2 linked regions of the Callithrix jacchus genome follow. The protein of the gene in region 2 purifies or fractionates together with the protein of the main gene of each other region. This does not show direct contact. Links are inferred from orthologs where the notes say so. Each region holds a gene or a part of one and is shown on either strand. Other genes may lie near its edges.

What was found.
Region 1: the proteins of GPC1 (region 2) and HADHB purify together in Homo sapiens (co-immunoprecipitation; 3 studies listed by BioGRID and IntAct, counting the BioPlex papers as one, with this or other methods). This does not show direct contact. The link is inferred for Callithrix jacchus from reciprocal best matches to the Homo sapiens genes GPC1 and HADHB.

What each region holds. Positions count from the first base shown.
Region 1 is NC_133515.1:89,130,281-89,133,780, reverse strand, and holds part of HADHB (trifunctional enzyme subunit beta, mitochondrial), read right to left. Parts: intron 994-3,500; 5' UTR 986-993; coding exon 919-985; intron 806-918; coding exon 761-805; intron 1-760. UniProt on the Homo sapiens protein: Mitochondrial trifunctional enzyme catalyzes the last three of the four reactions of the mitochondrial beta-oxidation pathway.
Region 2 is NC_133507.1:161,741,570-161,745,069, forward strand, and holds part of GPC1 (glypican-1), read left to right. Parts: intron 1-1,855; coding exon 1,856-2,014; intron 2,015-3,500. UniProt on the Homo sapiens protein: Cell surface proteoglycan that bears heparan sulfate. Binds, via the heparan sulfate side chains, alpha-4 (V) collagen and participates in Schwann cell myelination.

The sequences.
Region 1 (3,500 bases), on a different chromosome or scaffold from region 2:
TCAATATAGAATCTGGGCAAGGAGAAAAATGTTAAGAATTTGTTGGGGTGTTTTTAGCATCAGCCAGTGAAGATACAAACATATAGCAGATGCTGTAAAAATCTATAGTAAAGAAGCCTAACTCACTGGGTTTACTGAGGGTATAAATGACGACGTAAAATCAACACATTTCCTTACTCTTTCATTTCATATTAACTAAACAACTATCTGTTATTAACTAGTTCCCTAATCACCTTTATTTTAGGAATGGGCCCTCTTGCACCTGGGATAGGAAGATATTCTTGTTTTGTTTTGTTTTTTCTTTTTTTCCCAACAGGCATGAGTTATCAGATAGAAAGATATTCATCAATAAAGAAGCATTTCTCTAATTGCAAATTTTTTTAAAAGATAAAATTTTAAAAAGTTAACTTTTGGTTCCATAACAGGTCTCAAGAGCATTTGTATGCCATTCATATCCAGGACGGATAGCAAGAGGGTAAATAAACTGACCAGTGAGCTTTATGGAACCTCCACGACTCCAGCAGAGTCAAATCCCAGAAGGCAGCCGCCTGTCAACATCCTCAAGCCTAATCTTAAATAATGTAGTATCATTATTGATTGGTCCTATAATTTTTTAATTTGAAGGCAACAGAGATGTTCATGTTGATCATAAAAAGGGGAGAATTAGGAAATTAGTTTTGGTTTTTATTAAGAGTTTAAGAACTACAGAATCTGGAATCTAAACATAAATCAGAAATGTTTATTTTACAAATGACTGTACCTGGGGCAGCTCGCAGCTGGGAGGAACAGCTCAGAGGTCTTACGGCTGGAAGACAAAATAAACTGTTTACAAAAAGCAGTACCATTCAGTATTTGTGCAAGATGCTTATAAATCCAAAACCAATCTCTAAAAATAATTAAAAATAATAATAAACTTACAAAATCTGAGGGCCCATTTTGATGTAGTATGAAGATTTTTAAAAGCGTAAGTCAAGATGGTAGTCATTCTGGAATCTAAAAAGAGAAGAACAAAAATATATCCTGGGTTAGCTGAATAATTCGTAGCTTACATTGTAGTCTATGAACTCTGATAACCTCATTCATGGCCGCTAGAAAACATTTAGACTTAATCTAATATCAACTATTCTTCATCTAATATTATTATAATAGCAACACACTGACATGGCTTTCATATTGTACCAACCACTATTCTAAGCATTAACCATGTAATCTTCACAATGACCTGTAAAGGAGGCATGATTATTATCCAATCATGCCTTGTGAGAGCTAAGGAAATTGAGGAAGAGTAGGATTGAGTGACTTGCCCAAAGACCTACAACTAGCGAGTGTGAGTGGCAGAGCCGGAATTTTCTTTTTTTTTGTGACGGAGTTTTGCTCTTGTTGCCCAGGCTGGAGTGCAGTGGTGCAATCTCAGCTCACTGCAACCTCCACCTCTCAGGTTAAATCAATTCTCCTGCCTCAGCCTCCCAAGTAGCTGGGATTACAGGCGTGTGCCACCACACTCACCTAATTTTTTGTATTTTTAGTAGCGACAGGGTATCACCATGTTGGCCAGGCTGGTCTCAAATTCCTGACCTCAGGTGATCCACTGGTCTTGGCCTCCCAAAGGGCTGGGATTATAGGCATGAGTCACCATGCTCGGCCCAGAGCTGGAATTTGAACCCAGGGAGTCTACCTCCAGAGTCTATGCTTCTCTCCTTTGGGGTCAAAGAAGCAGAGAGACTGCTAGGCATGATCATAAAACCATTAGTGTCAGTTTCACAGTTCTGAAGATTGTACTATGATTATGTAGAAAGCTTTGTGGAATGTTTGTATTTGAAGGGAATACACACTAAATAGGGATGGTGAAGTATGCCAGCAGCTTACTCTCAACTGCTACTAAAAAAAGTTTTGTAGTACAGCACTTGCAACTTTTTTCAAAGTTGAATACTGCATTGTTTCAAAATAATAAAAAAGTAAAACACATAATAACCGTATATGTTAAAAATAAAATATATTAACCACTTCCCCCCACCCCCAAAAAAGACTAAATTTCTAATAATGAGTTTCTATAGATCACTAAGGAAAACACCAGCAGACAAGTAAGCCCAGAATATGAACAGACCATTCACAGAAAAGGAAATACAAATGTCTTTTAAATATATGAAAAGATGTTTAGTTCACTCATAAGAGGAATTCAAATTAAAACCACACATGTGTAATTATCTGTCAAAGTAACAAAGATTCAAAGGTCTGATATATACTCTGTGTAGGTAAGAGTATGTGCAAACAGATACTCTCATATACTGCTGCCAGGAGAACTGGTGCAATCCATGGGGAGTGCAATTTGGTAATTATCCATGAAAACTATAACTGCACCTAATGTTTGAACCAGCAATTCTGCTTCCATGAATTGGCTTCATGGACATTACTCACACACAGGACATGAGCTATACTGTCACTGTAATAGTCAACGATTAGAATAACCAAAAAATAGGGAAAGGGGTAAGTAAACCATGTTGCCACACCCCTGTGAAATACTATTCAGCTGTAAAAGGTAAGGAAATAATTATGTACCAATACAGAACCATTTTTAAGCTATATTATTAAGTGAAGAAAGATGCAAAATAGTCATATAGCATTCTTTCATGTTAAAAGAGGAAAAATATTATGTACATTTCCTTGTATCAGTATAAAATCCCCCTGGAAGTATAAAAAAGATGTTAAAAATAATTGTTGGCTGGAAGAAAGGGAACGGGGTAACTAGGGGACAGGGGTAGAAGACTTGTCATCACACATCTTTTGTAATTTCTCATTTTGAAGCATGTTTTAACTTAAAAAAAAAAAAAACCATAAGATTTACCAACAAAGGCTTTGGTAGCCAGCCTCCAAGGTGCCCCCACAATAATCTCTACCTCTTGGTATTCACACCCTTGTCTAGCTGCCTCCCTCTTCATATCACAGAATGTATAAACCAAAGAGTATGTCACAAGTAATGGTATGCTACTTCTTAGATAGGCTATACGAGATACTGCAGCACCTATTGTGGTCTCTCTCTTAGCTCACTTACTATAGTGGAAGCCAGCTGGTATGTCAATGAGCAGCCTTATGAAGAGGCTCCCGTGGTGAGGAACTGACGCCTCTTGCCAACAGCCATGTGAGTGAGCTTGGAAGCAGAGCCTCTAGCGCAGGCAAGCTTTCAGCTGACTCTACCCCTTACCAACATTCTGACTGCCATGGGAAACTCTAAATCAGAATAACCCAGCTAAGGTGCCCTTGATTCCTGACCCTCAGAAACTATGAGATGGTAAACATGTACTGTTTTACACTGCTAAATTTGGCAGTAATTGGCTACACATAAATAGATTAATACAAAAGCTTTAAGGTTTAACTTCTCTTGGGTCTTTAGAGACTCAAAGGATGCCCTATAGCTTCCAAAATGAAAAAAACAAATCACATGTTCCAAACATGTGGATTGGAATGAGATGGAGAAACCCAAGCTTTAGGATCACCAGCCTAGG
Region 2 (3,500 bases):
ATCAGGGGGAAGGGGGTTCGAGGTACAGGTGCACTTGCCAAGCTCGCTCGGTCTGCTGCATAGGAACTGAAGTCCAAGCCCCAGGGATTCCCTGGATGTGCAGCCCCTAACGAGGGCTCCCTCCCACTCAAGCCACAGCCCCCTGCATCCAGGATATTCCAGAATTCAGACGAGGAAAAGAGGACGAGAAGGGAACCCTCCAGGATAAGACCCCAACTCAAAAAGCTGGGCTGTGGTTGGGGAGGGGCTGTCCTTGCGCCTCGACCCCCCCCCTCGCTCTCCCAGGCCCCTCTGACAGCTCATCTGGGTGATGTCTCATCAGCAGGTGCAGAGGCTACCAAGGGGCCAAGCGGCAGCCACCCAAGCCCAGACTCGGGCTCTCTGTTCCCTCCTGCAGTCTCAGCCTCCTCCCTGGCTGTGTGCTTGGGGGTGTGAAAGATCAGCAGACTCAGTCTAACCCAGGCATTTGCTCTCTGGGCAGTTACCTAGGTCCCCACACCAGATGGTTTCTGGTGGGGAAGGGCTGCCTGGGCCCCAGGCTGCTCCAGGCCCCACCTGCACTAGGGCCGCAGATCCCCGGTCCCCCATCCCATGGTGCTGCCAGCTCCCCAGGACAGCCTCAGGCCAAGGGCCTCAGCCCAGCCTGACCTGCCTCTCCTCCCTGGCCTGGCGTTCCCTTCCGGCTGACCCGCAGGCAGGAGTAGAAGCGTGTAGGGCCTGCTGCATTCCAGCCAGCCTGGGCCAGGGTCCAGGACGGGATGGGACAGGCTCTCAGGCCCTAGCCCTGGCCCAAGGCAGCAGTCCTGAGGAGCGTTTCTGGAATTCCTGCTGACTCCCCCTTGGCCCTCCTGTGACCAAACGAGGCTCCTGCCTCCACCTCTCCACTGTGCCTGACCCAGGCCAGCACCAGGAGGGCCTCGGAGGTGGGGGGTGAGGCCCACAGGGGTCAGTGTGGCCTAGTGAGTGTGGGGTTCTGGGCTCAGGCAGCCAGAGCCGTGTGCCACCCATAGAGATGGGACAACAGACCTCATCTCTAAGCCCCAGGTTCCTGGCTAATCAAAGGGCAGCAGCCTCGTCACAGCGAGATGCACACCCTTTTAAATGTGCAGCTTTTCCTGATGCACACACGTGTCACCTGTGGCGGGCACCGAAGGGTCCTGAGCTGTGCGCAGCAGGGCCGAGGGTTGACTCAAAGCCTGTACCCACTCCCCACGAGGAGGTGAGGCTGCCTCTGATGGCACCATTGCCAGGTCGCTGGAGCAGAGCAGCCCAGGGCAGGCTGCAGAGGAGGGGACTCCACAAGGACACCAGGACACACAGGGTGTGCCCTGTTCCAGTGTCCCCTTCGTGGGGCCTGCCACCTGCACCAGGGCACACCTGTCCCCCCCCCACCAAACTTGTGCCTGGGGTCCTTTGGGGCTGCCGCCTCTGGCCGCCCACTGTTGGTGGGGTCAGCTGCCTTGCAGTGGGGGCGTGGTGCCTCCCAGGGCTGGTGTGGGAAGGCAGGGGGATTGGATTCCTTCCTCCCTCCCCATCCTCAGCCATGGGCCAGGGTAAGAGGGCCTGTCGGGCCTCTTAGCTCCTCCTGCCTTGCACATAGGAAGCTGGGACTGCCCACTGGGGCTGGAGGTGCCTTGGGCACGTCCGGCCCTGCAGAGGAAGCCCCACCAGTGTCAGGCGCAGGAGCTGTGGGACGCAGGCCAGGCCTTTTCCTCCCCCACACCCCACCATTTCTGCCTTCACCCAGCGCACCCCCAGGCAGGTCTGCCGTCCTTCTGCCCAGGAGAGCGTGAGGTTGCCCGCCTGGCCCCCAACTCAGTCCCAGCCCCTCCCTCACGCTGGCCTTTCCCCGCAGGTGAGCACCTGCGCATCTGCCCCCAGGGCTACACCTGCTGCACCAGTGAGATGGAAGAGAACCTGGCCAACCGCAGCCGCACCGAGCTGGAGACTTCGCTCCGGGACAGCAGCCGAGCCCTGCAGGCCATGCTCGCCACCCAGCTGCGCAGCTTCGATGGTGAGTGCATCGCAGGGTGCTGGGCGTGGGGGGACAGGCACGCTGTCAAAGCAGAGGGTGGGGGATTAGCAGGAGGAGGTGGGGGAGTTAGTGCTTTAGGGCTGGGGTGCTAGGTTGAAGCTCCAACTGGGGTGTGGGGCTGCCCTCAGGCCAGGATATGCAGGGTTTGACACCCAGCTGGGGGTGTGCACAGCCCATTACCAATGTGCATTTGGGGACAGAAGTCCTGTCCCATCAGCCCCTCAGATGCTCCTGTCCCTGGTAGATTCTCTTGAGCGCCTGCAGAGAGACAGGCCTGGGCCAAGCCTGCAGCTCCTCGAGTGCCCCAGGCTGCCGTCCCCAGGGACCAGGTGGCCTGGAGCCAGAGGACTCAGTTCAAGGGCTGAGACACTGGGACTGTGGACAGAGCTGCAGAGGGCCGGTCCTGCCCAGAGTGGCCGCCACTCAGCCCTTTATATTGGGCCAGGATTTTGGGGGCCCGGGGAGTGACCCCTCAGGCCTCACAGCCCGTCAACTGCTGTGTCAGAGCTGCATACTCAACCCTGGGCCGTGCCTCACCATGTGTCTGGGCACAGAGCATCAGGCACCTCCATGGGGACAGTGTGGGGTCGGGGGGCCCCCAGGAAGTGACCTCTGATCAGAAACACAGGAACTCAGTGGAGGAAGACAGCCTGGACTGAGGTCCTGCCCCTGTGACTGGGCGGGTCTGGGGCGGAGGCGGCCTGGGCTGAGGTCCTGCCCCTGTGACTAGGCGGGTCTGGGGCGGCCTGGGTTGAGGTCCTGCCCCTGTGACTGGGCGGGTCTGGAGCTTCCGGACACAGGCTGAGCAGACAGGAGTGGCGGAGCGCTAAGGCCGCAGGGCTTGGTGTGGCCATGAGCGACAGCGGCTGCTGCTGGGCCGAGATTTGTCTCAGTGTCTCTGCCTCTCTGGCTCCTGGACACCTGCTGTGGCCTCCCAGGCTCCAAGGAGGGTCTGCTGTCCCCAGGAGGGTCTGCCGTCCCCAGGGACCAGGAGCCCCCCAAGGCCATTTCCACAGGGCTTCAGTGGGTTCAGAAGCTCCCTCTCTGTAACTTCAATATCGACGCTCAAAGCTCAGCCCCCTCCCCCAACCCCCGTGTGGGACCCATGGGACGCTCATGGACCCTCTGGGACCCTCCCTCCTCCTACCCAGCTGGACCCAGGGAGCGAGTCCCTAGAGCCCAAATCAGGAGCCTTCCCTAGCCCTTGCGTCTGTCCCGAGTGTGGGGACCCCACTCACCTCTTCTACTCCATCCTGGGCCTCAGTTTCTCCGTACCGTCACTAAGCCCTGGCTCCAGCCCCTGCATGCCACCAGCCCTGCCCCTTCCCCCTCCTGCTAAGACCTTCCACCCCTCACCCACCCTTCCCGCCTGCTTCCTCCTGGCTCTGAGGGGGTCCATGTCCCTGCCCCACTCTGAGGCACCTCCGTGTCAGCAGCCTGCCGCCACCCTTCCTCCACTGCCTGC